Astyanax mexicanus: one gene and its partners. The protein of the gene in region 3 purifies or fractionates together with the protein of the main gene of each other region. This does not show direct contact. Links are inferred from orthologs where the notes say so. Each region holds a gene or a part of one and is shown on either strand. Other genes may lie near its edges. The genes, in order: ccna2, fbxo36b and skp1.

Evidence for each region.
Region 1: the proteins of skp1 (region 3) and ccna2 purify together in Homo sapiens (affinity purification with mass spectrometry; 4 studies listed by BioGRID and IntAct, with this or other methods). This does not show direct contact. The link is inferred for Astyanax mexicanus from reciprocal best matches to the Homo sapiens genes SKP1 and CCNA2.
Region 2: the proteins of skp1 (region 3) and fbxo36b purify together in Homo sapiens (affinity purification with mass spectrometry; 3 studies listed by BioGRID and IntAct, with this or other methods). This does not show direct contact. The link is inferred for Astyanax mexicanus from reciprocal best matches to the Homo sapiens genes SKP1 and FBXO36.

What each region holds. Positions count from the first base shown.
Region 1 is NC_064417.1:25,272,357-25,283,330, forward strand, and holds ccna2 (cyclin-A2), read right to left. Parts: upstream 5,378-10,974; 5' UTR 5,129-5,377; intron 4,985-5,128; 5' UTR 4,956-4,984; coding exon 4,761-4,955; intron 3,522-4,760; coding exon 3,287-3,521; intron 3,201-3,286; coding exon 3,094-3,200; intron 3,013-3,093; coding exon 2,789-3,012; intron 2,709-2,788; coding exon 2,504-2,708; intron 2,418-2,503; coding exon 2,304-2,417; intron 2,193-2,303; coding exon 2,059-2,192; intron 1,704-2,058; coding exon 1,652-1,703; 3' UTR 1,293-1,651; downstream 1-1,292. Other genes in the region: bbs7 (Bardet-Biedl syndrome 7 protein), read right to left, coding at 6,738-6,871, 7,062-7,185, 7,285-7,388, 7,543-7,652, 8,102-8,266, 8,383-8,522, 8,820-8,885, 9,003-9,077 and 4 more. UniProt on the Homo sapiens protein: Cyclin which controls both the G1/S and the G2/M transition phases of the cell cycle. Functions through the formation of specific serine/threonine protein kinase holoenzyme complexes with the cyclin-dependent protein kinases CDK1 or CDK2.
Region 2 is NC_064411.1:57,738,577-57,749,550, reverse strand, and holds fbxo36b (F-box only protein 36b), read left to right. Parts: upstream 1-5,237; 5' UTR 5,238-5,238; coding exon 5,239-5,388; intron 5,389-7,115; coding exon 7,116-7,224; intron 7,225-7,331; coding exon 7,332-7,504; intron 7,505-9,184; coding exon 9,185-9,427; 3' UTR 9,428-9,552; downstream 9,553-10,974. UniProt on the Homo sapiens protein: Substrate-recognition component of the SCF (SKP1-CUL1-F-box protein)-type E3 ubiquitin ligase complex.
Region 3 is NC_064424.1:48,032,856-48,043,829, forward strand, and holds skp1 (S-phase kinase-associated protein 1), read right to left. Parts: upstream 7,076-10,974; 5' UTR 6,893-7,075; intron 5,601-6,892; coding exon 5,504-5,600; intron 5,204-5,503; coding exon 5,130-5,203; intron 4,598-5,129; coding exon 4,454-4,597; intron 3,389-4,453; coding exon 3,248-3,388; intron 2,690-3,247; coding exon 2,654-2,689; 3' UTR 2,040-2,653; downstream 1-2,039. Other genes in the region: ppp2cab (serine/threonine-protein phosphatase 2A catalytic subunit alpha isoform), read right to left, coding at 9,546-9,618, 9,893-10,011, 10,146-10,307, 10,404-10,493, 10,582-10,755, 10,859-10,974. UniProt on the Homo sapiens protein: Essential component of the SCF (SKP1-CUL1-F-box protein) ubiquitin ligase complex, which mediates the ubiquitination of proteins involved in cell cycle progression, signal transduction and transcription.

The DNA of each region.
Region 1 (10,974 bases), on a different chromosome or scaffold from region 3:
ATTGCTTGCCTTGAATGTAAATTATTCAAAGTAAGTGCATTTCTTTTTAAGTTATTTCCTTATAAAAACGATTGTTCCCTTGCTCTGATGTTTTTAAAATTTATATTTATCTCAGCTAATTGTGTATGTGAATTAAAAAAAGTCAATAAACTAATTCTAATTCAAATTGCCTAATTTACTTCAAAGGTGAACTATGGTGCAAAATGGATTTGGCGGTGTAGTGAAACAGATACAAACTTTTGTTAAATAGCCCACCTGTTTATTTAAATACAGCACTTTTAGCTAGTGCTCCCAACAGGTGTACAATGCTAGCAATATGTGGTATGATTTATTTGCGTGGACAACAGTTTACCATTAACAACTGAGTAGCTCATTGGTAAAAAAAAAAAAAGTGTTAGAATAAAAAATGAGGTACTGAAGTGTGTACAAGAAGATTAAAAACACTTACAGTACCACAAGGTAGTTCTCCAGGCACTGCCATCTATAAATTAAGTCAGGATAAGTCAACGTAAGCCCAAACTAAACTACAGCTGAGGAGTCATGTAAATAATTGTATTTTCACAGAATAAAATTTCAGTATGTTGTCCAACATAATCTTAATTTCTTTGCATGGGCAATGTTGCCCCATCACTAGCATTATAATCCTGTCAGGGGTGTCAGCAAAATGCTGCATTTCAGAGCAAAGACTACACCCCACCCATTTCACACCGGATAGCTCATTTAATGAACAGGTTACATGAAGCAATGTTTACTCATCTTTACCTATAGACTTTACCTTTAGAGATCAGATGAGCCCAGAGGTCAATCAATGTTATAGTGCACGCTAAAGATTAAGTTAAAGCAGACATGCTTTTGTTGCAACACATGTATGGTACATTCAGCTTATTGAATCATGCACATCCTGTGATGTGGTTTTCCATGCACACATTGCAAGGACTATGCTGAAACAAGCTCACCATATTTTAACTACAGTCACATATATTTTTAAATGTCAGAATAACCATTTAACAACCCAAAGCGTTGAGCATTTTTATGCTACTTATTACCAAAACAACCTCAGCCTCCAGAAAAGAACCTAGAATATATGTAGGTATACAGCTATAGTTAAAGCACTTCAAATTATACAAATTAAGCAACCCATCTGAGATTAGCCAAATTGATTTAAGGCTAGACTGGAGTACTGTACACCAAATCTTGTCTGTTCAACCTCACTCACTACCTTATGTTCTTGTTGAACCATCAAGCAAACTCAAATTAAAATCACAATCAAAAATAAAAGTCAAGAGCCAGCATTGTAGAAAACCAGTGGCAAGGTTTTATTAGATGTCAATTTTATAAAACCTTTACAAAATCAGTAATAAGCACCACTGGTCGGTTTCATTAAAAAATATCAAATATGAAAACAAAAGAAAGATCAAAACAGTGCTTGATTACCACCTGTACAAAATATCTGGATACATCAAGCATAAAAATAGCAATCCTACAGGACTGCACATAAAAATATACAAGAAACACTAATCTCACCACAACCTATACAAAAGGTTTTGGTGTCCATTATTGGAGTTAAGGGAACTTGCAACATTTCAAAAAATGTACACAAATTCTTGTTAGAGTCTGAAATTCAGGAGCATAAAGTACAAGATGAGCAGGTTCAGTTCAACAGCAACTTCTCTGGGGGTTCAATAAGAGAAACCTCATGGTACCTGGAAGAGAAAATAATCCACTGTTAGACAATGTACACAGGTATATACAGTCAATACCCTAAATCAGTGGTTCTCAGACAGTTGTACATATACCACTGGTGGTACTTAAAGCATCCCAATGTGGTAAAGTAGAGGACATTTGCTTGTATTTAAATATTGTACAATGTTGTAGAACCACTGCCTTAAATAAATCTAACTAATAAAGGCACCATTTAAAACAAGTCAGCATATTGGCTTATTAAAATGTTAATGGGCTAGTCACCTTGTAAACATATAAATATTGAACCAACACACTTGTGTACATTATGACAAGTTGATAAATAATTAACGTCTAACATTTGCAACTTCAACTTACTTTGAGCCCTTGTATTTCTCCCTGACCGACTGCTGTGCATGCTGGGCAGCACTGAGGTAGGTCTGGTGCAGATCTTGAATACATGGCATAAGATCTTCCAATGTGTAGCTGGTCATCTCAGCAAGAGCCTTTGACTAAAACACAAAAGGTAGATTTGAAACAACCAAATTAACAAGCAAAATATTGATCTCAAGATAAAAAAATAAGAGCTTAGCAAATAACTAGAATATATGTATACAACTTACCCATGATCCCCCTGTGATGGTGTAGTTTGCCAATATAAAGGCTGCAGCAGCTGTTTGAGAAGGTAGGTACTTCAAGAAGGGGTCAGAATCAACCAAACTTAGCTCTCCAAGAAACTAAAAGAAAAGTAATGGCATGATTAAGAAAAATGCTGCAAAACCTCAAAACAAATAAATGTTCGACCACATTTGCCTTCACTCACCATTGACAAGCTCTCAACCTTGTTGTCCACACGTTGCCGCAAGTAGTACTGGGTGAGAAACTGGATGATCGTTGGAGCTGCCAGATCAAAAGAAAGGACTTTTAGCACCAGATGCTCCATCCTTAACACTTGTTTCTTCGTGTAGGTGTCATCAGTGATGTAAACAAACTCTGCCACCTCTGGGGGGTAGATCTCCTCGAATTTTCTGCAGGCCACCAAAAAGCATGTGAGCAAACCTCTACACCAGTGGCGCACAAGTCAAAAAGCAGAATGTAAAATACTTACGAAGCCAACAGCATAGCCGCTGTGCCAACGAGCTGCAGTTTTCCCCTCAGCACAGACATTGAGGACAGGAAGCGGTCGATGTAGTTCACTGCCAGGTATAGAGTCTCATTTTGAAGCTTGTACTCCTCACCAACCTCCACTAGCCAGTCCACCAGGATGGCACGCATACTGTTTGTGATGTCTGGCTGTTTCTTCATATAACCTGCTTTGGGCCTGCATTTGAGCTGAGGGGAAAAATAAATAAAATATTGAAAGAATTCAAGCCAACAAAACCCATAAATGTGTATTCAAGATGTATAACTTACCTCCATATCCCTTAGATGTGTGTGAATTTCAGCAGCGTAGTCTGTAACTTCATTTACATTTACCAGCCTCTCCTCACCTTCAATTATTGACATATCCATGGGAGAATCTATAACAAAAGAAGAAAGTGTTAGAACATTCAACGCAAAACACTCATACACTTCTATTTGCATACCAAAATCTGCCATGTCGTACCAAAACTGAGATCCATAGGCAGGTCGATAGTAGCAAGGGGCTGCCTTAACCGGGTTACTGTGGGGTTTAGTGTTAACGGGGAACAATCCATGGTGGCTTTTTTGGAAGAAACATGTTTCTTTGAGCAGGCACCATCAGGTTCATCAACATGAATCTGAAAAGCAGGCTGCTTGGAAGAGGGCTTTTCTGCACAACTTTTGCCATGGTCATCTGATCTGCAGGGCTGTACATTAACCTGGTAACACAAGGGAAAATACAAGCAATTAGCCTTTATAGTAAAATATTTTAAATCTACACTAACCCCGTTCAGTGTTTAAAAGCACTGAAATTACCAATTTCAGCCTTCATACACTAACCAATATATCTCCATGTTCTCAAGGCAAATTGTAAGTCAGTGCAGACAAACAAAACTATGAAAAAACAAATTAAGCAACATTGACAATCTTCAATAAAATATCAAATCCTGAGAGCTCCATTGTGCAGGGCTATATTACTGAACTAACTGAGCTGATGTATTTATGAGCTCAAAATAGGTTCAGTCGATAAATGGAAACATTTGTAAATTGCAAATGTCTATGCCTTTACCAAAACTGTCTGGGTATAATCATTTTTCCAAAACTTATCCAGGCCTGGAAAGTGTTTAAATTTCATGACCATACAAACCCTGACAAGCAAGAGTGTTACTTGTATTAGAAAATGTTTCTCTAATACTGGTGGTTAATTTTTGACCAGCTATACAAAAACACTACCAAATTTAGGGCTTAACAGATGCAGGTAACATTTAACAATAAGGATACATTAACTGTGCTTATAAAAGTAGGTCAACTAGTTATTTGACACCAACCTATTCAAAATATCACTACAATTTTTTAACCCCTGTACCAACACATTGGAAACATTCTTGAGAAAATAAGAAATAATTAATGGCTTAACTAGCATAAATTAATACTTTGACATTAAGTAACCATTTAACAAATGTTTTACTGTCGTAAGTGCTGTTTTTGTTAACCTTTATTGTAAAGTATTAGCTGCATGGCAGGGTGCCTAGAAGCACTGAGCAGCTGCAGCATAGCTAGTGTCACTCCTATGGAACCTATTGAGGTGGGGAAAATGGCGGTCTGGGACATGGAGGGAAGCTATTTGGCCATTTAAAACAAAAAACAGGACTAAAACGCATTTAATTACCACGTAATTCAGGTTTAAAGAAGTGTTAAACTTATAAAATGAAGACTTACAACATGAAATGCACTTAACAGATGCACGTAGGCCCATTTAAGCAGGTAGCTAGCTAGCTAACCATGCAGGTTAACCCATCCAGCCAACTAGTGCTGCTAGTTAAAAAATAATATCCAGCCTAGCTTACTAGATCTATAACAAGTGAGTTGACCGAGCAAAAGTAGGAACACAGAGTCTAAAGTCACATTAACAAAGTGTAACTAAAGTTTAGATCACCATTCACAAAACCCCCACAGACCTGTTTGGAGCCTCGCAGGGCGGGCTGTCTCCTCGGGTTGTTCTCCAGCACTCCCAACACGGTTCTGTTGGACGGTTTCGGGTTCACGTTCTCCTGGTTCTCCAGCCTACTCTTTACTGCTGCCGCTCCGCGCAGAGAGAGACGGTTCTCCTGGTTCTGGACGGATCCAGCTTCACTAACTTCGTGTGAGGACATTTCTGCAGCGTGTTAATAGTAAACTCAGGCTATAACGAGAAAAATAACACGATCAGCGAATCTAAAACAGCCCAGAACTATAATTTGTTTAATGTAAGATCCCACAGCGGCGCTCGGTAATCATTAAGCCGTTGTTAGAGACAGTTTAGGCGGATAGAGAGGGGTTGACCTACCGTGTGAGACACGCAGCAGCAGCAGAGTGTAGTTAAAGTTATTCAGCTGCTGATCAGACAAAAAATAAGAGTCATTTAAACTTCAGAACGCAATAAATAAACAACGCTAAACTACAGCTCGGCCTATAATTACACCGACACAAAAAGCGCCATAATCCGGATCAGAACCGCCTAAACTCGCTGTATTGACTCAGGCCGGGTTGTTTCAGTGCTGTCCAACCCGCCGCCGCTCCTGCTCCGGGTTTGTTTCTACCAGTTCAAGTAGCCCGCGACTACTCAAACCGACCAATCAGAGCGCAGCGCAGCGGAGCGTCACTAATCTACGGCAGCCGGGAGGGAGGCAGCGCGCGAGCCGTTGAGAAGTCGATGTAAGAGATTGATTGGCTCAGAGGAGAATTTAAACAGAGAATTGAGGAGAATATGGACAAAAGAGCACAATAGAAGGAACAGCCTGGAGATGGACCTAGTTTAGACCCTCCATAATAGATAAGACTGTTATAATATATTATTTATGTTTATCTGTTCTTTAAAAATAATGAAAAACTAAATAAAAGAAGAATAAAAAGAGAGTATTACAATGCAAAAGTGAAGAAAAAAACACATGAAGGAGAAGGACAAGAAAAAGGGTGGATTTTAGGGTCATTTAGCTATATGCAATAAAAGTAAAAAAAAAATAAAATAAATAAAGGTAGATTTTAATGCCACTTTGTCATTTAAAAATATGTGATAAAAGTACAAATAAAGGTAGATGTTAAGATTTGTATTTATTTATTCATTTATTTATATATAAATTACAGTGTTTATATCACACTGTCACACAAAGCAAATGTTTTTTTCAGGAGATCCTATTCAACATGTGGAAAATAACTTTATAAATATTAGTACAGAGCAAACATAATTAAGAGCAGAAGTCACCCACCAAGACGTTTCCTCTTTATTTTAATACCATTGCTGATCTACTGTTATACTCACCTGTGGAACAAACTTCCAGAGATCTTTCTTACGTCTGCAGAAACTGCTGGCTTATTTAAATCAGGGCTTAGTTAGTTGTAGTTTATGTTAACTTAGAATGTCCTTTAGATTTTTGATGGATTATTTATTAGCCTGTCCTATTCTGAAATGTGTATATCCAAAATGGCCAATGATTTTTTTAGCAATAAAACTTTTGCCCTTTGCAATGTCAAAAACAGAGCCCTTATCTCTATGAAAGGAATTTACTGTGGTTTAGTGAAACAAAATGTAACACTGATATATCACATTTCGTATGTATTTCAGATCTTCTTTAAATTCCAGATTAAACTAATTGTTTTCTGATCAATTGTTTTTCGTTTGTACAATTAACATTCTTGTACAAAAAGGTAAAATACCCTTAACAACACACACAAAACAGATAATGACTTGAAAAATTTATTACATAGAAAAATGACCCCACATAAAGTGAGTACATGAGCAATTTGTCTGAAAAACAGGGTGTCACTAATCTTACATAACACAACACATAACCTAACACAATCTCAGTATGGCATTGATACTTAAGCATCTGTTATACAGCAAATAAATACCACAGAAAAACATTACAATTTCAGTTTGATGACAGACTGATCTATCTTCATCCATCATTAAAAAACTCCATCAGAGAATTCAGGTCATAGTTGTCTAATATTTCAAGAAGTTGGGAAACCTTAGTTTTGACATTTTGTCCTTTAAATTTGAACTTGTCGATGAAGAGGTCGGTTATCATGCCTGTGTGAAGACAAAAACATGTTAATTTAAGAGTTATTAATAATAATTGAATAGTTAAAAGTAGAATCATGTTATATTGTACATATTCAAGATCTGGGAACAGTATCACTACAGTATAATCAATACTATCATAATATTTCTTTAGAAATACAATCAAATGAAGCTTACATAACATACAAAGACAACTTACCATACAGCCTTTCCAGATGGGCTGGCTGCTTCTTATATTCTTCTAAAAGACGAGCAGATTCGTCAAGTATACTGCGATACTCTGGAATCAGAAAATCCGCATTCCCTTCATGCACCTGCAGCTCCTGCACAATAAACACATATAAAAATGTACATACATTACATCAAGTAAGTTTTAATTAAGCAGTTAATATTATAATTCATAACTGCACACAGTACATTACCTTTAAAGCATCAATTAGCTGAACCTTCTTGGCCAATAATAGCTGATACTCAAGTTTAGGGTGAATCATCTTCAGGGTATGGCTTACAGAATCTTCATTCACTTCTAAAGCAGGGCAAACAGAAAAAGGTCGCCACAGCATATACGTAATCAATAAAATACAGTATACAATGTTACTATAACACTGTACAGTATATAGTTACTAAATATAGTAAATTCCAAATCTGGAACAGATCTGTTAAGGATCCTAAGGACTCACCATATGAAATGTTCAGGTTGATTTTGCGCTTGGTGGCTTCCTTAGAGAGAACATCCTTCAGTATGGATATGGTGGAAATATTATCTGACTTAAAGTTCCCTTCGCCTTTGCTAAAAAATAAAAGAAAACAAAAACACACGCAATTACACAACATACATTACTTATACAGATGCATCAAATAGATGTTAATTACATCTATGCGGTTTTGTGTCAAAGTAATCATAAACATGCTCAAGTTTGTGCTAATTAAGGTGACCACTGTTTCACCAGAACAAACCTCATATAAATGGTATTCTATCTATATTCAGAATCTCTGTCTCATATTTATTTGTGTTTATTAGGCATATTTAAGCAGATATTTCAGAATTTTCTTAAAAATTACATTTAAACTGAATCATCAAAAGAACATACTCCAATAACTTATGTGTACACCTTTCACTGGATTTTTTATATTTTATATTTACACTGATAACTAGAAATTCTTAAAACTACATAATCTTTAGATTTATTTGTCTTGTTCTCCCTTCTTCTGTTCTAACTGCAGTGGAGTTGACCTCACCAGTAGCTGGCCTCAAGCTGTGTTCCCAGGAAAGTGTTCTGAAAGTAGAAGGTGATGTTTTCTCCAGCTGGGGTTTTCTCTGGCACCTCAGGCAAGCAGAACACGACCCACGAGTGAATCTCCGCAAAGCTAAACTGGCCCACCAGCCGCAGAGTGTTCATGGGTCTGTAGAGAGAATCAAGGCTTGTTCTTCTAACTATCCTTCTGACACACTTTTTAGCAAATAAATGTTCTGTATTGATTTCTATGGTAGACAACTGATTACTGCATGTGATGCCCACCTGTCTTGGTCAATGCTGTGAGTCCTCTGGTGCAGGGAGAGCGGTTTAATCTGGTACTGTCGGACCTGGCAGGTTTTGGGCTGCAGACGGGGTGTTACGTAGGCCTGAAGTGTGCCATACTGACCCTCAATTGACCTCACCTGGAAATTAATGGAAACAGTGTGAAACAGTGTGAAACAGGCTTCACATTGGGAGACTGAGCACTGAGAGCAACAGAGCGCTGAATAAGGAACACTGGATTACCGGTAACTATTCCAACTGCCAGTATTTGAGAGATAAAATAAGAATTTAGGAAATAAGAATTATGCCATATATTTATTGCCATAAAAAATACTCTAAAATTGGTACTGTTAAGTTAAATCAAATGCCCATATTTATTGTCTCATAATGCTATCTGCTCTCCAATACTGTCAGAATACTGTATCAATATCAGTTACCTTAAGTTCCAGCCTTGTAGTGTTAGCCTGGCATCTGTAGGTGGCAAGCAGGAAATTTCCATTTGGCTGTTGGGAGAAAATATGTAAATAGTAATGCTTTTTAAACTCACATTAGGCCTACATTTGCCGATCCTGTTTGCTTTGGTTCGCAGCATAAATGAAGATGATATAATAGTGTTTTACCTCTGAATCACATTCACTGAAGCTGACAACTGCTGAGTTCTTGTCCACATCTAGTAGATCTATAGGAACATCACTCTGTTCAAAAATAAAGAATATTAAAATATTAAATTATTTAGTAATAATATTTTAAGTATACTAAGATATTAATATTAAAGGTTATATATTTTTACTATTGTAAACCTTTCGAACAGTGCTGACCTGAAGGAGCAGGTTGTCAATGGCAGTCTGCACCTCCAGCGTGAGACTGTAGCTGGCGTCATCCTGGCACAGGGTGAATCTGTCATTGATGCTAAAGACGGGCACCGCAGATACGGCCGTGCTTGACTGAGAGCTCTGCTGGTACTTCTCCCGACCCTGCATTACCTTCACCTGCAGCTGCTCTAACTCAGCCCTGAAAACACAAAACAACTCAACACCAATTAGTAACATATTTGTAAGGTACTGCTATGAAGTTGGTGATTAAAATGCATTGAATTTGGATTGTAAGATATTTAACATTTTTTTATGCAATTCCTCTTCAGATAATTTGTAAATTAAGTAAATATATCATGACAGTAATTGATTTATGACTATTAATCATTAATCATTAATTAAACATCTAAAATAAAGTAATATTAATAATTATTAATATTTCACATTTATCTAGGAGAGATTTAGCTTCTCCATAATAAGAGCTTCTTTTTTAAATTCATAAGGAATATCACTAAATAAGAGCTTTGTCCAGCATTACATGTGTAAAGTCTGTACCTGAGCGCAGCCACCTTTGTCTGGGTCTCTCGGCTCATCTTTACCTCATCTCCTGGCCCTGCCTCCATCTGCTGCGGCTCTGTAGTGAGGCCTGACACCCAACCTAGTGACATCACAACCAGACAAGGGAGTAAGATATTTAAAATAGGGTTAAAATACACTATAAAGACATAAGGTTTTGGTCACACCTCTAATCATTGAAACTGTGTGTTTCACAAAGTCTCATTTCCATAGGTGTACGAAATCAAGTTCCAAGTAATGCAGTCTTGGGACTTTACAGACCTTAGATAGAGAACGTGTGTTGCACTGTGTGCAATAGGAGGTCAGCTGGTGAAATTTATTCCCTACAAGATATTCCACAATAAGCTGTGAGTGGTTATTATTAAACAGTGAAAGCATTTAGGAACCACAGAAACTCAGCCACAAAATGTCTGATCATGTAAAGTTACAGAAGGGGTGTGCTGATGAGAATAGCTGATCAATGACTGCAGAGCTCCACACTTGCTGTTAGAGCTGCAAAGGGGGACCGACTGCACGCTAATGACTATGGTAAAAGAACAGAATGTGGTAAAACCTCCTGTAGGTATAATGTGTAGGTGTCCTTATACATTTTTTAATATGGTTCTATATGGCACTACTTTTAATATGGAATCTGCTAACAGCAGATAGAAGCAACATGGATGGTAGAATGTAAGGAGTATTTTAACTTAGTCTTCAGTCTCTGACCTGTGTAGGTGGTAGTTAGAACTTCCTCATATGACTCCTTTCCTACGCACCCCCCCTGGATTGATGTGACACTTTCTGACAAAACCTTTTGATCACAGAATAATGCAGATTAGTGATCAAACAACACTGATCAGCTATTTTGAAATCAGCAGAGAGTGTTAACCTGTCAGTGTCACACATACATTCTCAAAGCGTAGCGTGGGTTCGTTGGAGCTGTCCAATCCATAGACCTCGACTGTCCCATCATCTCTGCCCACCAGAATATCTTTCACACCATCACCCAGAATGTCAAAGGTATCGATGCACAGCACCCCTTAAGAAGATAATGAAATAAAAAGTTAAATTTAGTTAGAAATTTTTAAGTTAGTGTATTTTGTCTACATCCAAAAATATTGCAATAAATATTGCATATTATGAAAAGGTCTTTAAATATCACTTGTGCACTCAAAAAACATATGATATTTTCATTATATTTTTACAATATCACCCATCCGTAAAC
Region 2 (10,974 bases), on a different chromosome or scaffold from region 3:
TTTTTTTTTTTTACCTGCTGTGTGAGCAGAGCCTGTAAAGTAAGAATATATAAAAGCAAAAGAGTCACGAATGCTGTTGGAGGGTAATTTCAGATGCAATTTTATCTATGCTGTATTTTATTTTTTACGTTTGTTTAAGTTGCTGGATTCGTTTGTTGAACAGGTTTGGGCGGGAAAGCAGGCTGTCCCCGAACTTTTGACAGGCAGTGTTTGGCTTTGATTCAGTAAGTAATGTTTTACGCCTAGAAGTTAAGCTCCTTGTGCATATCAATATTTGTAATTCTTTTTAAATGCGTTATTTACGATGCGATTGCGAACGTGTGAAGCGGCGAGTTTAGAGACACTGTGAAGAACGAAGCTGACTGAACTCAACTCACCTCAACTGAACTGGACGGTTGATCTTCTGCGCTGCTCTACAGGACCTCCAGCGCCGCCGATTTACCGCGACTGAAACCAAAACCGGCGGCGGTACCGAGCGCTGAGCTCCGTACGGAGGAGAGGAAGGCAGGCAGGTGTGTAGCCGGGCCCGACCGATACAGATATTTCCACCAATACTGAATTTACACACTTAAAATGACTGGAAATGTATCAAAAACTGATAATTCTGATATATAATTAGGCCCGTCACGATAACTTTCATTATTTAAAAATGTTCTGCATTGTGGTTTAATACTAAACTCATCCAAACTAGAAAGAAAAGCACATGGAATTATTTACTTCTTCAAAGTACAGTCAACTGGAATTCAGGCTTTCAGTTAACAGCTGTGCTGAACTCGTCAAGAGTTAATGAATACTTAAATTCCTTGCCTCTTAATGTGTTTGAGAGCATCAGTTGTAAAGTTGTGAAGAACAACTACTTTTTTAAGAACTTTGAAAGTAAAAATACCTTAATGTTATAATAATAATAATAATAATAATAATAATAATAATAATAATGATGGAACTGGCACTCATCAGGGCCACTCCAGTAAAAAAAAAAAAGAAAAAGAGTTCCCTCAGAAACTGCAAGTTAACAGCTCCCCAGAAAAGAGCACCTAAAATACTTCGTAGAGTTAAAATTTTTATAAGTTTATATAATTTTATACAATTTACAGAGCCAATTACCCAACCCACTCATTAGGATCACTATCACTCCCCCTATCACTAGTGATGCTCCCCCAACACCAGGAGGGTTAAGAAGACCAGCACACGCCTCCTCCGACACATGTGAAATCAGACAGACTCCGCCTCTTTTTGAACCTCTTTTGGCCGAGTAGCATCATCACAGCACTAACGCTCGGAGGAGAGTGCAGCGACTCGGTTCTGATACATCAGCTCACAGATGCAGCCTTGTGCTGATCCACATCACCCTAGGAGTGATGAGGGGAAAGAGAGAGCGCCATCTACTGTACTGTACCCACCCAGAGAGAGCAAGGACTACTGTGCTGCTCTCTCGGGGCTCCGGGTGCTGTGATGGCAAGCTGCATGACCGGGATTCGAACCAGCGATCTTAAAGTTCGGGGGGAAAAAAAGCCCGTAGACTTGAATAGCAGTTATTATATTGATTTTAAATTAATGTTTTGCAAAATTTTTGCTTTTAGTTTAAAGCGTGAAGATTTTGCCAATTTTTTTTTTCTCGTGTAAACAAACTCTTAAGTAGACATATTGGGCGATTATTGAAGTCAGTGAAAATTAATTGAATATTTCTATAGGTTATATGATACGTTTATTGAAATGATAATGTATTTACCGTGACGGGCCTATATATATATATATACTTAATATTGTTAGAACTTCAGAGACTCCCATAGTAGTTCTAGGTTAACAGAAATGCACTCAGTTTTATTATTTTTTATTTTTTGTGGACAATATATCGTCCCAAAAATTTGTATGGCAAATAATGTCATCATTTCTTACTATTTTTTTTCCTTATTATTTAAAAAAAAAATACTCAATATTAAATGTAAAATAGAAAATGGCATAAAAATATAAATTCTGTTAGTTTAGGATGCGTCGTTCTTTACCCGGTTTACACATTTCAGACTGTACTAACCTGTATTAATAGCCCATTTCCAATACATTGTTTTTGTGACGTCGCAAAAACCATTTATTGCACATTTACAGAAATCTGCTCATTTAGCCTGTAAAAAATGAAGCCTCGCCCCATTCACCCTGTAGATATAAGGAGTGTTCCAGTCCAGACTGTTTATTATTCATATTATTTTTTAAGTACTTTGAAGCAATACTGGGCAGCCAATCAGAACAGAGAGCTCTTATACACCCCACTTATAGACTCATAGTGCATTCCTCCTGGTGAAAGACTCGTTCAAAGCTGATTATTAGTATTATTAGTGTCATATATCCATATTCAGCTCTGTAAATAAATGAAGAGAGCACTTCAGTTTCTGAATCAGTTTCTCTGATTGTGCTATTTATAGGTTTATGTTTGAGTAAAATGAACATTGTTGTTTTATTCTATAAACTACAGACAACATTTCTCCCAAATTCCTAATAAAAATATTCTCATTTAGAGCATTTATTTACAGAAAATGAGAAACGACTGAAATAACAAAAAAAGATGCAGAGCTTTCAGACCTCAAATAATACAAAGAAAACAAGTTCATATTCATAAAGTTTTAAGAGTTCAGAAATAATCAATATCTGGTGGAATAATCCTGGTGGTTTTTAATCACAGTTTGTTTTTTATGCATCTTGGCATCATGCTCTCCTCCACCAGTCTTACACACTGCTTTTGGATAACTTTATGCTGCTTTACTCCTGGTGTAAAAATTCAAGCAGTTCAGTTTGGTGGTTTGATGGTTTGTGATCATCCATCTTCCTCTTGATTATATTCCAGAGGTTTTTAATAAGGTAAAATCAAAGAAACTCATCATTTTTTAAGTGGTGTGAACCTGGTACCACCAACACAATTGGCACTTTTAAAATACTTTTTAAAGTTCTCAGAACACCATGAATCTCTAAAATTTCTAAAATCTGAATGAAACAAATTCTAATCATTTTTCAAACCACCTCCAAATGTGATTTGGATCTGATTTGCAAAAATTTAGATTTTTGTGGTTTCTGGCTGTTCAGACTGTGTCTCAAATCCAAATTCTGGATACAATCTAGCTTTGACCTTGCAGTCTGAATGTAGCGAAATTGAAGTCCAGTCCAGTGTTTTGTTGTTGGCATCGTTAGCATTGTTAGCATCGTTAGCCTAGCATCTCCTGTATATAAGCTAGGCCTGCGTGAGCACACATGGCCGTACCGAACGTCCTGACCGACCGGATGAACCTGAGCTCAGAAATCAGACCTGGCCTCCGGTGCCGTATGCTAATCTGCTAGCGTGTGATTGGGTCGGGCCCTGGAGTGTAGCTGAAGCAGGGGGTGTACAGCAGCACAGCGTTATAGATAAGGCTTTTATATGATCTGCTGTGGAAGCTTTTAGTTGCAGAAGCAGATTTCACCTGTCTCGTCCTCCATCTATGGATTTTCAACTAGACCTACATCAGATTTACCATTACGAGTGTATAAGTTAATGTGTACATATATAAATACATGTATAAAAATATTAAAGCTTTTTAACTACTGTACGAAGTGTGTGAAAGTGTTTTTCTTTACCACGCTTTTTAGTTTTTTGTCTTTTGTAATTGTGATTATTTATGTACCTCTCTGACGCTACTTTTGGGTAGTGTTCCTCCTGGTGAGAGATCCATTACTGCCAGATCTGCCTCTATGACCCTTTCAAACACTCAATTTCTGCCCGTTTTACCCATTTTGAAAGGTCTTTTTGTGTTGTAACTGCCTATTAATAATCTGAAGGGTGTATATCTCCAATGGTTTTATTTTACGAACTACAGACATTTCTCCCAAATTCCAAATAAAAATACTCATTTAGAGCATTTATTTACAGAAAAGAGAATTTTGAGAAATGTCTGAAATAACAAAAAGGATGCAGAGCTTTCATGTTCATAAAGTCTACTTAGAATATATTAAAAAGTTACTTTATTTTAGTAATTCAGTTGAAAATGCAAAACCTCAAAGTATTATATAGATGTATTGTACACACACTGATCTATTTTAAGCGTTTATTTATTTTATTGTGGATGATTATGGCTTACAGCCAGTGAAAACCCGAAAAACAGTGTATAAGACCAATTGGTACTTTTGGAAGTGTGGACAGCGTGTAAATGCTGCTGGAAAATGAAATCCAACTGAATTTTTTTAACTGAATTACTGAAATAAAGTAACTTTTCAATGATATTCAAATTTTTTGAGATCTTTTGTATCTGTAATAATGGATAATCATTTTGTCCTCTAAATGCTACTAGTGTTAGCTTTTTTTATTGCGCTGTGTGGAAGACTACTAGGTTTAAAATCGTCACCTTCTTAAAAAATTTCATTTTTTTTTTTTATTATTTTACTTGAATCATTTCCTGTGACTTAAGCTAATTTATTGTTTCTAATCAAAATAAAAATGTGACGTGGGTCATTTTAATAGCTTTCTAGGACCAATCTCCACGATCCAGGTTTCGTCCCCAGTTTTACTATAATAATAAATGTTAATAATAAAGTATACATAAAGAAAAAATACACTTATTAATAAAATCTTTAGGCTATAAATGTTGCTTAAAATGAGTTGCTTAAAAAGAGTTTTTAAGTATTAATTTTGAGTTTTATTGATATTTTTTTTTAGCATTTTGTCCCCCCATAAACCCCCATGTTTTTTTAATTACTGTTTTCTTAATGTTGAATTAGGATTAAGGTTTCTAGTTGGTTCTAATTTTTAAATTAATAATTTAATAAATAAAAAAAAATAATTTTATTCTAATTTTATTATATAGTTTGTTTTTAGTCTTTTAAGGTTTTAGGATTATTAATATGGGAGAATATGACAAGGCGGGGTGTAGATTGTCAGAATATAATATATCTAATAAATATATAATATGGTGTTTAGCTATAAATCCCTTTTTTATTATAGTTTTTATTATATTTTCTTGTTTTAATGTTAGTATTTGTTATTTATGTTACAGTTATTAAATTCTGGTCATTTCCTATGTCCGATTTTAAATGATTATTTTGAATTTTATTAAAAAGTCATTTTAAAAAATGAGTATGTGGTTTTATTTTAGGAAGGTGACAGTGTTCTTTAAAATAATTTAGATTATAATTATAAAATATTAAATTCACTCCCGGTTCAGTCTGGCTCATGCTCGTGCCCGCGCGGTGGGCGTGGCTTTCTCATGCGCTTGCTTTGTTATGGCAACGGTTGCGCGCGTCCTTGTTGCCATGACACCGAGCGGAGTTTGCAAGATGGCGAAAGTGCAGGAGGAGAGTCTGCTGGAGATCGGGGGTCAGGGTCCTGCTCCAATCAAAGACTACTACCACCTGCTCATCACCAGCACACAGGTAAACCCCTCCCCTCACCTGAGCACACCTGTTACTCACCTGAACATCTGCACACAGGCTTCAGAACCAGCCAGCTAAAACAGCAATATCAGAATACTGCGACTTTTATCCTCATAAAAATAACATTTACTACTTCACTTCTTTTTAGTATTTATCTTATAAAACTACACTACACAAAAAACATTATCAAAATATATTATCCAGCTAAATCACTTTATATTTCATATATTTCTTTGTATACAGTTGGTTATATGTCCTCGGAAAAGTTGGCATTTGATGGAAACGAGGTTAAAAATTTTTCAAAAATGCATTTAGTTTAATTTTTTTTTTTAAATATTTATACATAATTACTGTGATATTTTACTTTGACAATGTAAACTAAAACTTAAGCTTTACCTTTTTAAGCTCAGTATTAAGAGAATATGGGAAATATTAAGTGAAATTAATATTATTAATTACTGCACTTGCAGCAGCATGTGTCTTCAGGCCCTTGTAAATAAAAAAATATATATATTTACAGCTCTGTAAAAAATGAAGAGAGCACTTCAGTTTCTGAATCAGTTTCTCTGATTGTGCTATTTATAGGTTTATGTTTGAGTAAAATGAACATTGTTGTTTTATTCTATAAACTACAGACAACATTTCTCCCAAATTCCAAATAAAAATATTCTCATTTAGAGCATTTATTTACAGAAAATGAGAAATGTCTGAAATAACAAAAAAATGCAGAACTTTCAGACCTCAAATAATGCAAAGAAAACAAGTTCATATTCATAAAGTTTTAAGAGTTCAGAAATAATCAATATTTGGTGGAATAATCCTGATGGTTTTTAATCACAGTTTTTTTCATGCATCTTGGCATCATGTTCTCCTCCACCAGTCTTACACACTGCTTTTGGATAACTTTATGCTGCTTTACTCCTGGTGCAGAAATTCAAGCAGTTCAGTTTGGTGGTTTGATGGTTTGTGATCATCCATCTTCCTCTTGATTATATTCCAGAGGTTTTCTGGGAGGGGCACTGGGTGATGTAAGGGTTTAGGGGCGGGGCAGGAGGGAGAACCATGGGAGTAAATGGAAACATCATTCTCGCCTATAGCACAGTTAAATTTGAGAGGGCGTCAGAAATTTCCAGAATAAAAGCGTTTTTTTAAAGGTTAGAAAAAGTTTACAAAATTTAAAGTATGACTGGTATGTTTTACACTTTAGGATTCTTCCTCACATCATTGATTCACCTCATTCTGCATGTGCTGTGCTCTTACAGTCACCTTTACAGGACTTTACCACACCTAGAGAGAGTAGCTCCAGTAACAGTGCTGAACTTTCTCCATTTGTAGAGCGTCTGTCTTACCGTGGACACATGAACATCAAAGGCTTTTAGAGATACTTTTAGAGTAACCCTTTCCAGCTTCATGCTTAAAGGTCACAATTCTTGAACGTAGGTCTTCTGAGAGCTTGATCTTTTGTGCGAGTCATGATTCACATCAAGCAATCAAGCTTCTCAAGAGGTTTACATACTATTCCTCCTCACTGTGAATGTTTAACATGTTGTGTTCAGTAAAATCATGCAAAAATATATTTGTTTGTGTGGTTTTAGTTTAAGCAGACTGTGTTTGTCTATTGTTGTGACGTAGATAAACATCAAAACACATTTAATGACCAATTTATGCAGAAATGCAAGCATAATCTCAAAGGGTTCACATACTTTTTCCTGCAACTGATGATGCAGGTGATCTGGAGGTGGTGGAAGATTTCTCTGAGGGCTGAATTCAGAAACGCGAGACCTGGAGAACTGAAGGAATCACACAGCGAATATTTGGAAGACAGCACGCTGCAGAGTAATGATATATTCTGAATATATATATATATATATATATATTTTCCGGCTGTACGTGTTTAATAAGGTGTGTAACTTATAAGGTGTGTATTTAATGGTTAATCTCAGGACAGGTGAAGATCGTTTTTGGTCCAGGTATCCTGAATTACTCGTTGGATCTGTGCCAGGGTCAGGCTGACTATCTCCTGCGTCTTCCCGAGTCCATACACCTGAAGATCATGTCTCACCTGGACCTGGAGGACGTGGCTCGGTTGGCAGGAACCTGTTGCAGGTTTAAACAGGTAAAAACTGTGGATTATCTGTAATTTTCCCTTTTAATATAAACCCTGTGCAAAAACAGATTACTCAATATTTACATATTTACAAACACAGAGAGGAATACAGACTCCTGCTGGAAAATGAAATCCACATCTCGCTGACTTTAGACTTGATAATAGAACACAGTGGATCAACAGCAGCAGATGACAGACATGACTCTCCAAACAAACCATCACTGATCATCAGTAAATTTTACATTTCATTTAAAGTAAATCAATGCCTCCCTCTCTCTGCTGATGACAACTTTTACGGAGATACAGATTTCATTTTCCAGCAGGACTTGGCACACTGCCCACACTGCTTACCAAAAGTAACAATTGGTCTTATAAAATATAATATTCTAATTTTCAAAGACACTAATTTTTGAGTTTTCATTGGCTGTTAACCATAATCAATAATTAACAATAAAAGAAATAAACTCTAAAAATAGATCACTCTGTGTTTAATACATCTATATAATATCAATCAATCAATCAATCAATCAATTATCCTTTATTTCCACTCCGTAATACATTGAGCGTAACCCCATTTTCAATGTAGACGAGCATTTACAACATTAAAGGAATTGAAAATCAAGTCTAAATGATAAAAACAAGCAAACAATGTAAGATAAATAAAAATAAAGAAGAAATAAAAAACTTAAAAATAAAACAGAAAGGCTAAAATGTAGAGCAATAAAACAAAGAGATTCAGATCATTACAATGATAAAAACGTAAATGCTGGAACTATAATAATTATAATAATAATAATAATAATAATAATAATAATAATAATAAGTTAAAAAATTATAAAAATGAATAAATAAATTAAATAAAAAAAGGTCAAAAGTAAAAGCAGTAATAAAACAAATAAAAGGATGAAATGAATCAAATAAATAAAATATAAAAGGGCTAAAAGGTAAAACATGAAATTAGATAAATGAAAAGACATAATAATTAAAATAAATAAAAAGGGAAAAGGCCGTGAGAAGGTGGTTAGATATATGATATGTGGGTTTCAGATTTTGAGTATCTGAATTACTGAAAACTTTTCAATGATATTCCACTTTCTTTGAGATGCACTAGTATGTGGTGTTCCCACAGATAGATAGATAGATAGATAGATAGATAGATAGATAGATAGATAGATAGATAGATAGATAGATAGATAGATAGATAGATAGATAGATAGATAGATAGATAGATAGATAGATAGATAGATAGAAGAGTCTGATGGCTCTGGGGACAAAAGATCTCCTGAGTAAACAATGTTTAATATCCTGCTAAACTGTTGGGTTTAGATAGATAGATAGATAGATAGATAGATAGATAGATAGATAGATAGATAGATAGATAGATAGATAGATAGATAGATAGATAGATAGATAGATAGATAGATAGATAGATAGATAGATAGATAGATAGAGAGAGAGAGAGAGAGAGAGAGAGAGAGAGAGAGAGAGAGACGTTCCTCAACCATCCACCTCTCTCCTCCGCCTCCACCGGGAGGAGTTGAAGAGTTTGATGGCTCTGGGGACAAAAGATCTCCTGAGTAAACCATGTAAACAGTGTTTAATATCCCGCTGATATTAGATGGGTTTCCGTATCTAGCTGCTGTAATATGGAGGATATCTTTAATATATATGATTCTGCATTATTTGCAGCTCTGCAGCTCGGAGGAGTTCTGGGAGCAGACGGTGAGGATGCACTGGGACACAGTTCCCGCTGAGGTGGAGGAACTGGCCGAGGAACTGGGCTGGAGAAACGTCTTCTTCACCAACAAACTGCAGCTGCAGAAACAGATCAGCCGCCGGAAACAGAGGAACCAATCAGGCGCTGGCGCCGCCACCGGCCTTCAGGTGGATTCGCTGATCAGACTCTCTGAGAGCAAGCATGGACTGAAATAAAGAAACCTTCAGAAGCTTCTACAGATTAACTAAAACATCGTTAATCTCACAGCGATTTTACATCCATTTAGCGTTATTGTTTTATATATATGGTTTTTATTAAACTGTATTACTTACAGAAAAGACCTTTAACGTCTTGTTTATATTCTTTTCTTATAGTCTTTACTGTGTTGTTCTTGCAGTGTAGAAATGGACATTTAAATATTCATTATTATTATATTTTTCACACTATAAGGCGCACTTAAAATCCTTTAATTTTCCCCAAAAAAATATATCAATCAGGTATTAAGGAGCAGGAGTTTCAGTGAAGTTTCTCCAGCACTAAGGCTGGAGCAGTAGTAGCACTACCCGCTAACCATACAAAGCACTAGCTCTTTCACCATTCAGAGGTGAGTATTATAGGCTTGTAGTCTGCTGCCAACCCTGGCTAGCACTGCTGGAGCAGCATTATTAGCATTACCGTTAGTGGTTAGCTGCTAATGCTAATGCTCTAGCCTTAGTGCTGGAGAAATTCGGAAAGAAATGGAAGTGCTTTACTTACCAAACTACATAGTTTTCAATAGAGAAATCTGTGTAGATTAACATTCAGCACTCGTTTGAGTTAAAAAAAAAAAAGTTGTTTTTTTTTTTACTTAGCTTAGCTTAGCTTAGCTTTACAGGTCTGGCCACTCACCTGCAAGATCTGCTGAGTTAGAATGGAAACATGGCGACACCTTGTTCCTTACTAGTGTTGCTTAAAATGCCCCTTATAATCTGGTGCGAAAAATGATTGATTTATTTTACAGAAAAATAAGATTATAACCTTTTACACCAATTTTTATCTCTTTCTGAATTTTTAATAGAAAAAAAACATCTCCATTTTTGTTGATTTAAAGTTTACTACTTAATTTGAACACACAAACTGTTCCTCACACTGTGTAACAATTTCTTGATGAATGGACCAATAGAAACTCTCTAAAAATATCTGAAATAAACTGTTTTTACATTGACTTTTCACATTGAGTTTTTTCTCTTTCTTTTTTTTAATTGGACAGTTGACAATATGCAATATGGAGGGTGGCAATACATGGTGTGGCAACAAAATAATCCATAAAAAAACTGAATTATTTCTGATTTATCATTATTTTTCCATATACTAGTGCATCAAAAAAATGAGAATATCAAATAAATCAATAAAGTGACTTTATTTCAGTAATTCAGTTGAAAATGTGAAACTCATATATTATATAGTTGTATTAATCACAGAGTGATCTATTTTAAGAGTTTATTTATTTTATTATTAGTGATTATGAAGCTTACAGACAATTGGTATTTTTGGTAAGCAGTGTGGGCAGTGTGCCGAGTCCTGCTGGAAAATGAAATCCTCATTTCCATAAAAATGAAAACTTCACACTAGACCTCGAGCAGTTTGGACTGTGTGTCTCTCCACTCTTCCTCCAGACAATGGGTGCGGATTTCATTTTCCAGCAGGACTCGGCACACTGCCCACACTGAGTACCAAACAAAAGTACCAATTGGTCTTATTACATAATATTCAAATTTTCTGA
Region 3 (10,974 bases):
GCCACTGCCCCTGCCACTGCCCCTGCCACTCAGCAGACCCGGCAAACTCTCGCTCTCCTTCAGCAGAGTCAAATCAGAGACCACAGGCTGCACTGCCACGCCCCACTAACACCTGCCTCCGCCCAACTGCCTCCGCCCACACCACCTTTACCTGCAGGAACCTCCAATAAAGAGCAGAGGTGCCTGAACCTCCACCACCCGGCTTCAGGAGGCTGAAGGAAGTCCTGCAGCATGAATCTTCCTCCTGAATCCACCCGAACTCCACCTGCAGAAAACCTGTTTTACTGTTTTATTCATCCTCCAACAGCCTGGATTAACTCAAACCCCCATAAACCACGCCTCCATCACCTCCATCACCCCCCCCCCCACACACACACACCCTCATCACTCCCCCAGAACAAACACGCGCCATTTCAAGTGTTGTAAATCTTAAATTTTTTTATAGATATGGAATTCTCTATATATAACTACTTTTATATGTTTTTATGTAAAAAAAAAAAGAAAAGAAAAAAGACAAACTATTTGGATGACATCATATTCCTTCTGTTTTCATACATTAAAAAAAACACTTTTCAAAATAGTTCTGTTCTGTAGATCTGTAGTGTTTCTGTTTTTCTTCTCATTAATCCAAACAAACCCAACGTCTGTAAAACGTGTGCATTTGATCAGCATCTGAAAGTCAGTCAACAAACAAACAAACAAACAAACAAACAAACAAACAAAAAGCTTCACTGCAGTTTTCTGTCTGAACTGTTCGTTCGGCTGTTCTTTACCTGATCAGTATTCTCTCTCTCCTCCCAGCAGAGGGCGCTGTTCTATAATAAACAGCTCATTATTAATGACTGACCAAACAAAACACACCTGTATCACCTGTCTTTAGTTTATTTTATACAAGTGGATTTATTGTTTTTTCTTTTGATGAAACTGAAATAATATTCCTCATTTTAATACATTAAACTATTTTGGAAACCTTGTGTTGTGTGATGTTTTATTAACCTCTTATTCTCCATCAAACTTCCGTATTATTATTTCACTTCAAAATATTCCCAAACCTTTAAAATGAAAAGATTGTTTTAATCAGAAAAATGATTTTATACGATTTACTGATTTGAGATCCAGTCTGTAGTTTATAAGTGAATTTATGTTTAATAAGGAAAAATGAGCTCAGATGTATTTTATTCGAGTCTGTATTTCTACATATACACTTCACAGATGTACAGTTTGAGTTTTGAAAATGATCCGTAAAGAAAGTTTGAGGTGGCTCTGGAGGAAAAGTACAAATTCAAATATTGTCCAGGTGAACCAATAAAACACCTGGAAGATAAATGATAATGAATGCAAATTCCTCACAACCTCTATTCTACTCAAACATGGTGAAGGTTTGATATTAGATGGTGGAACTGAATCACTGGGGTTAATAAAGCTCCAATCAGATCCAGTAAAACCAGCCGGATCCTTAAACCTTCAGATAAATAAAAAAATCCGCCAGTTTCCTGAAGACCAGACTGAAGTTCTACACAGGCAGCAGCTGAACATGGGCTCCAGAGTCCAACAAATAAACCCCTTATGAATGTTAGTATTGTCTGATGTTGTGAAATTACAGAGATTATATAAAGATCTGTCTGTAGTTTTTTCAGATTTAATGTAGAATTTCATTGAACTACAGGTCTGTTTACTGAGCTTCAAATCAATTAAAAACTTTACTGTCTAAATAATTCTGTACCTTTACTGAACCCGCGCACACCTGTTCACACACAGCAGCTGTTTACCACCAACATACCTGTTCACCTGCTCCGAGCGCGAGACGGGTTTCTGTCTGTGACCCAGATCTGCTCCATTTCCATACAAAACAGCCCGAAACCAAATAAACCTGCCGCCCGAATTACAGAGCAGACTGAACTTCAATAGCAGCACTAATGCTGTGTGTGTGTGTGTGTGTTTTATTATTTAAATGTCTTGCCCAGGATCTTCTACATTAACCTCGGCTTCTGACTCGAGAATCTGCAGAGGGAAGAAGCTCATTAAACACAGAAAACTCGTAACGTTTTGTTGGTTTTATTTTCGGAATTTAAAGATTAATATTCCTAAGCTTCATTGTAAGAGCAGAACTAAAAAAAATGTGTCCAATCCTTTACAATGACAGCAGGCAAAGTAAACGTCCGCAAGAAAAACACATTTTACTTCTTAAACAAGAACTTCCACACAGGAAACTTCCACCTCCCAGATCCTCCAGATCTCCTCGATTCTATTCGCTCTTCTTCAGCACGACTTAAGGAAGTACACACGAGCTGCGTTTATAAAAATTACAATCAAGCTTTAACCATTTCAATTAGTCAAAAACAAAAAAAAATCTACTTGGTTGCTTCATAAAGAAACATCTAATTTGAAAAATAATAAAAAAAGAGTGACTTCTACAGGAAGGAGGTGAAGACTATTTATTTCTGCTGAATATATAAAGAGGAATAAAAACAGGGAAAAAAAACTTTAAATTATAGATTTTTTTGCACCACACAAGCAATGAAGATCATGCTATGAATACACGAGGGGTCTCATCCTATTGGTCTACAGGTCAATATCAACAATATGAACAGTGCAGTGCAACCAGTAAATCTGTTTTTGGAAAAATCCGTACAGTGTGTTAGTGTCACATTCCTTATTTCTCTTCACACCACTGGTTCTCCTTGCGTACCTGGAGAGAAAAACCAACAGAGAACATTTAGAGAACATTTAACAGACCCTGTTTACACCATGTACTGCATCTGTACCTGGATCAGATTTAAACTGCGTGTGTTTACACTCTGAGCTGTGTGGAAGAAGTATGTAAATTTGCTTATTATGCAGTAATTATTACTGAGGTAGTGGGTGATCGGTTCATCTCTAGGCCGAGTGATCAGATGTGCAAACATTTGAAATATGTCTTGCATTTGTGTGTCAGATATTATACTTACATACATTATTCAGATTATCCCGATGCATAAAGCATCCAGGTGTAAAAAGGGTTAAACTACACAACCCTGTTTAAATTCATTCAGGTTTCTCTTTAGCTGATCAAAATGTTTCCAAAATGCATAAAAATTAGATTTTTCTCCAAACTGATGATGAATATTAAATTGGTCAACTTAAAAATGATTGATATCCATCGTGTCCACGAGCGAAAGGACAGAAGCTCCAGCTCTATAATCACAGACGCTGATAAGCCAGACTGAATTACATGCTGAAGCTCCACCAGGCTGAAGTTTTTTTTTACCTGAGCTTCCTCTTCCTCTGTGAAGTCATTTTTGATATTGAACGTCTTTCTGATTTCCTCTGGGGTTTTGCCTTTGATCATATTTGCGACTGTCTTGCAGGTGACATCTAGTAAGCCTTTGATGTCCAAATAATTTGCAGCCTAAACAAGGGAGAAAAAGATGAAAGTAAGGGAAGTGTGGCTGATCAATCTATTATAAAATGATGCAAATGAAACCAACTCTCCACCACAACATATATAAACATATTCCATTCCAGAACTTTAATCCATACACTCTTCCAGCTTTTCCCACCAACAGCCCCCCCCTGCCATCCCCCCTCCACGGGGCATTTACTCATCTGGCTCTGTGTTGCTGCACCACTATGCAAAAACAGGGATTGAGTTACAGAGGCAGCAGATAAACATGCTGCACTTTTTCCAACACATCTCACACACACACGCACGCACCCCGGACCCGCAGGACCCGCCACGCCACTCAGACACCTCCATCAACTCATGAAGAGGCGGGTAATCGGAGGATCAGCTGGGGAAGGGTGCTGGAAACAGTGTAAACACTAAAATGTGCAGGGCACTCAGCCCTTTAAGACTAGGATCTGCACCCACTGATTTAAACTGGTTTAACACACAGTTCCCAGAAACCAAACCCACAATAATAGAACACATTAAATAACCCAACATCAACCAGAACACTGATCCTAATCTCAGGCTGCAGGTAAAGCAGCTCAAATCCTCTTCCTGTGTGTTTATTCTGTTCACACTATCTGTTTAACATGGTTTATATTCCACAGTCTGAACAGTTTACATCCTAAACCGACTAAAGGGCAGAGCTTCATCTAAAGTTTCAGCTTCAGCATCACAGGAGCTATCAAGCAGTTCCAGCATCTGCAGCTGAGCTTATCCAGCGTACTCAGCCACGCCCACTTCCTGATTAACCTTTATTTACAGCTTTTTTAAAGCAGTTAATTTAAACCACATTTACCTGCTGTGTGAACGTAGCTTTAGATCACAATTATTAAATCTGTTTAATCACTACAGCCAAAAACACATGATGAGAACCTCACAAGTGTGTGCGTTCAAAAAGAAAAGACAAAATTCACACCTATAAACAACTGAACTGAAACAGTGATTTCAGAATGTAAAATGTAATTAGAATAAATACATGAAAAAACACTAAATACGGTTTGATAAACAATAGAGCCAACAGACCAGGATCAGCTCGAACAGAGTCCCCTGATCCACTTTCAGAAACTCCTGGTCCCAAACCGGGATATCATCCGTCCTCTTCTCTTTATTCTCGTCATCTTCAGGGGGAGGAGGGTCATCTTTGTGATGAGTGCACCACTGAATCACCTGCAACACACACGAACACACGGCTTACTCACACTTAAATTAACTACAATTTACCTCTGTGATGAACAAACAAAAAATCAATAATGTTTTTTTTTTTTTTTTGACCATTTTATTATATTTAAAACCCATAAATAATTAGTTATATAAACACAGTCAAACAAAAACATCTCTACAGAAAAACGAAAGAATCCTGAACTTTGAATGGAATCTGTGCGAAAGGTCGATTGTTCCACTCATTATAAAATTGTGACATAATATATAAAAATCTAAAAGGAGATACATGGTTTATCCCACAGAAACTGTACACCACATTATGTATGTAATGAACATTATTATAAATCTATTTTTATGGTTAATCTATTTATTGACTAAGCAGGACTAGGTGGGCGGTGGCTCAGTGATTGGAGCACTGGGTTTTTAAGGTTTCAAATATTTTCTTTTGTTGCTCTTATTATAACAACAATGTAAAAAACAAATCCAGGTGATGTTCAAATAAAAAAAGAACAGCTAACAATAAGGTCAGAAACTCTACCTTCTTGAGAATAGCAGCGTTCACATTGGGAAGAGGGACAGGATCATCATCACCTTCATCATCCATCCCCAAATCTAGCAAACAGAGCAAAAAAAAGAAACTTGACTAATGAAAGAAAGTCTGATTACAATATATAAATATTATATACTTATTTTACACACATACTTACATAATATACACACACACACACACACACACCTATATATACACAGGAAGACCACAGAGTATCTGCAGAACTAATTTTACCTCAGTCTTTGAAACAAGTGAATTATTAAGACCTGGCTGTGCTGCATCACTGATCACTACCTTCCTACCAGCAGCAATGAATTTTTAGATTATAAAAACAGACACTGTTTGTTTATTTGTCAGCTTACCTTCTAGCATGGTCTTTATGGTCACAGACTGCTTTGCAATTTCAACGTCCACCTCAAACATCTCCCCATCGGAGCTCTGCAGCTTAATTGTCGGCATCTAGAGAGAATGATTTTATTATAAACAAACAGAATCTGGAGTGGATCTAGATATGCAGTATTTTAGTGGTGTTTATAGATTGTTTTCATGGATTTCTATAAAGTCTTTTCAGACAACTAGAAACAAAATGTCCAAACCACACATTTTACTGTGTATTGTTCTGCACTGACCCGGTTCAAAACACACCCAAACACAACCTGCAGCACTGCGACCTTCGGCTGAACCACGTCGTTACTGATTTCACCATAAAACTCTCCCTCCCTCAATCCCCCTCTCCACCCTCACACACTGAGTCACACATCTCTTCATGTGATCTCAGACTCCTAATTACATATCTGCTACAGATCAATTTTTCACTTGTAAAGTAAAATAAATTTTACCCGAGTTCGACACATCAGCAGTTTTATTATACAGTTTATTATTACTATTTTATCTATTCGAGTCTCGTTAAACCAGGCCTACACACATTACTGCACTACTGCTACCTGTGGACACAATTACATTGTTAAAATGTGCAAAATACTGTCTTTAAGCTTGTGACCACTTAAGCACACAAATGATTTAATATTGTATTATTAATTAAATGGCAATCGCGCCATCTCTTATTGTGTGTGTAAGCATTTATCTACATAATTCAATCACATACATGGAAGTGTTTATGGTGAGCTGGAGGAATAGTTTAATAGTGAGCTGTGGTAAACTGTAGGGCCTGATTAATCACAGCCTGTTATTGCAGGCAGCTCTGCTGAGCAGAAGGGCTAACGCTAGCTAGAATTTAAAATTATATAGTTTACACAGCTAATATTCATAATATATAATCTTTACAACAGACAGACTGCGCACTGTTATACTAGTTTATTTCTCTCTGACCGCAAATAAACAGATATTAATCCGGTTTTATAGAAACAAACCTGAATCCAAACTGTGGGTTAGCCTAGCCTAGCCATTAGCACTGCACTGGTGTTAGCTCGCTGCAGCGGGTTATATATTGCGCCAATTAACGCGTCTCTCCATTCGTTTAACATTAATACAGTTTACAGTGAGTTCATATTTAAACAGAAACACCGGCGAGGCGCTTATTACAGTAAAATCATCCCCAACAGACCCCGCTGTCGCCCCGCCGTCCCCCCGCTCAGAACCGGGTTAGCTTAGCTTTAGCTGCGAGGCCTCGCCTAGCGACCTCTCTATTCTCTCATAATTCCGCCAAAACCCGACTCAGAGCGGCCGGATTTAAACTCAGACGGACTCTGGAGACGCTGAGAACCGGCGCTGCGCTGTTCCGGTAAACCCACCGTGTCGGCGTCCTCCTGGAATCAGCGGTGAAGCTGCGCAGAGTCAGCGGGCGGGCGGCGCTGTGGGTCCGGGCTGAGTGCGGCTGGAGCTCTGCGCTCTGGCTCTCATACCGGCCAACAGCTCCCCCTGCGGCCCCCCGGCGCACTGCAGCCCCTCACCGCGGCCTTCACCTGTAAACATCTACCACCTAAAACATCTAATAATAATTATAATAATAATCTATGATCTACAATAATAATATTAATAATCACCTTTAATAATAATAATCTGCAATCTCCAATAAAATAATATAAAATAATATACATCTAATATTATACACATTACAGAATCAACATTAATATTAAAATCATTTATCACTCTTAGCCTTTCTCTGTTTATTATTATTATTATTATTATTATTATTATTAATAACCCAGAAGCTCCACCATTTTGTACAGAACTGAGCTCTGCAGTAAAGCTTTATTAATACTGACTGAAGTTAATATATATTTTTCAAAATATAAGCATTACACATATTCATTCTGCACAAAAATGTTCAAATGTGGTTATTCAAACATTTAGAAATATTCATCCAGTTATTTGTCTAATTAAACTGATTACAGGGTAGATATAAAAGGTGAAGATGTTATTCTTGGTTTAACTTTAACGTCTCTGCTGTTAACTGTATCTAGAATCCGTTTATCTTTAGGAATTTTATCTACAAAAAAGTTTTATATTAAAAATCAACGGAATATATATACGTGTTTATTTTTATAACATTGTCTTAGTTTACTGAAGAATCTTATCTGTTTATAGAGGACAATAAATTAATTAGATAACTAACCTAAACGTTAAACTAACTAACTACACAATTAATAGGTGTTTATAACATCAGGCAAAAAAGAAATAATACAGTGAACACTTTAATCTATTTATACAAAAAGTCCACCAGATGACGCCATTTCTCATCACAGCCCTACATGTGTTGATTGAGGCTCTGGATGTAATTAATAATATTTGTTATAATTAAACACATATCAGCAGCACCCCAGAAAAGGAAGAGCAAGAGTTTCCTCTTTACAGAGTATTTTGGTTTGTTAAACACTTCATAGTCTAGATCACTTTATTACTTACTTATAGTTTAGGAAAAATAAAAAATATTGAATGATGTAACCTCTAATTACTGGTAAAATAAACACTATACTGCCAAACTATTCTCTCCTGCATCCAGATCTCTGAACTCAGGTGTTGCAGAATCTCCTCCGTCTCCACAGGTGTTTAATAAAAAAAAAGCAGAAGCTCATCCTGCAGAGGCTTCTACAAACACTAGTGAAAGAACGGCTCTCTCAGGAGCTCAGTGAATTTGTGGTAAGTGTGGTGGAGATGGGATTATGAAAACGGTGCGTTTTTTTTCCCGGGATTCGGCTCCGCCCCTAGAGAGGAGACTGAGAGACAGCTTCTCATCCCACATCAGTGTCTGGCCTCACAAATGTGCCTCTGGAAGAATGGTGAGAAATTTCCATAAACACCATAAACACACTCCTTAACCTTGTGGAAAGCCTCCCTAGAAAAGTTGAAGCTGTTTGAGCTGTAAATATTGAACCCACATCATGTTAAACTCTCTGGATTAAGACTGGGAATCATTTATGCGTGAAGACAGACAAGTGAACTTTTACAGAATAGTGTGAGTATGATGAGTATATACAAGCGAGTATATGAGACCATATTTCAACTTTGGTCTTTGTTCATTAATAAAAACCAATAGAATAGAATAACACCACACGATCAACAGTATTAACTAGATAAACTACTCTCTGTAATACAGATCAGTTCCTGCCGAGATTTAACTTTATTCCTACCTGTATGAAAAGCTGAATACAGTATAAGAAACATGGTAAAATTATCACACAATCATCAAGAGGATTAACTGCAGTTCTAGTCAGACAGGTCAAAGGTCAAATAAAGAAACTGCACACAGAATAAAGGAGCAATTTCCAACTTTATTATTCAGCTGGTGCCCATTGTACAGACATTTACCCATCACAAGAACCTTTCACCATTCTCACCATCTTTTGATGTCTGCCATACACAAACTGACATGATGCCTTTAGAACGTGTAGATTCTCTCTAAGTATCTCTTCTGTTGTAAATGGCTGCTGGGGTATATACTTACAGAAAAAACATCCTCAGTGTAAAAAAAAAAAAAAAAAAGAAATGAAAAAGGAAAATATTGCTCAGAAAACGCCACATGCCTCAGTTCACCTCCTCGCTTTGAAAAAATGTGAAAGAAAAAAGTGCAAACATTAAAAACTGTTCAGAAACATGAAATTCACAAAGTATAGCGGCGGAAACGCGTTCAGAGTTCGTTTCCTTCCCACAGACCGAACGAGGAGAACGGAGAGAGAAACTACTGAGATCATGAGATAATACTGGACACAGGCTTCTGGATTTAATTTTTTGGGTATGGCACACATCGTTTGGTCCATGTATACAGACATTTCTTCTCTGAATCTTTAAAGAGCCGCCCAGTAACCCCCGCCCCCCCACCCCCAACAAATCCCCCTAACCACCTCCCCCACCCCCCCATTGACCGGAGCTAACCCGCCCCCCCCTGTTTCTGAAGCTGAATATAGATTATTACATGGTGGCGATACAGCTCTGTGTTTCACAGGATTAGAGGAAGTAGTCCGGTGTTCGGCGAGTAACGTGGGGTTCTCCTCTGCGAGGGGCGGGATCAAACTGCAGGCTGTGAAGAAAAAAAGATCAATAGTTAGTCATGTTTATTGGGGATAAGAAACAAAAACAAAATATTCCTCTTTTTTTTTTTTTTTACAGAATGATGTTCAGGTTCTACCAGTTAAAAGAGCAGAGGAAAATACACCTGCAGAACAGAGCTAAACCAAGTGCCTCATCTATTTATTTATATATTTATACATACATACATACATACATAAAATATTATATAGCAAACATATCCACATATTCTTTCTACATTATTTTATTAATCTAAAGACACTTACAAAGAATACTTTAGGGTGTCATCCAGTTCCATGATTGCTGCTTGATTCCCGCAGCGATAGCAGTAGTTTGGTGCGCTGAAGATCGTTACCACATTACGATCGTGGCACCAGTTATAACCCTGAGATTAAAGAATACATTAGAAATCTTCATTAAAATCAGGCAGTTATACAACTTTAACTCCTGCAAACCCCTAACACCACAGTTTCCATAATCACCTCCACCCTCACATCCAGCGTTTACCCCTCGACTCACCTCCATCACCAGCTGATGAGCTCTGGAGACGAGGGTAAGGCCGTTGGCGTGGTTAAAGGTTTCAGAAATGTCCTGCCCGAAGGTGTAGCCGGCGCCACGGGGTGAGATTCCCCAACCGCCGCGATCATCCGGATCTGACCACAGCAGATCACACATCGGCCCCTGAGGAACACACAGCACGCATTACACTACTGCAATAATCCTGTACACACACACACACACACACACACAGTAATTAGCAAGGTCATCCATACTCACCTCGTGTGGAACTTCCTGTAGGCGGTCCAGGGCGCGGATGTGATCCAGCGTGTCTATAGACGGGGACAGTCCTCCATGAAGACAGAATATCTGAGAAGATCCAGTTTAAAAGTTTCAGCAGAGATTCAGAATACATTTAGAAAATGATCAAATACTAAAAGTTAGGTGATGAATTTACCTGTCCATCTACCAGAGCTGTAAGGGGAAGGTAATCGAAGAGGTCTGTAAAGTATTTCCAAACGTTTGCGTTGCCGTATTTTCTGAGGCACTCGTCGTAAAAGCCGTAAACCTGCGTGATCTGTCTGCTTTCGTGGTTCCCTCTGAGAATCGTGATGCGCTCACGGTACCTAACCTAAAAATAAATTAAACAATTTTTTTTTTTTTTTACTTTTTAACACCATCTTGGCAAAACGCTAGTTTTAATGTAGTTAAAATTTACTGTCAGTAGTTCATACCTTAAGAGCTACGAGCAGCGTGACCGTCTCCACAGAGTAATAACCTCGGTCCACATAATCTCCCATAAACAGGTAGTTCGTATCCGGTGATTTTCCTCCGATTCTGAAAAGCTCCA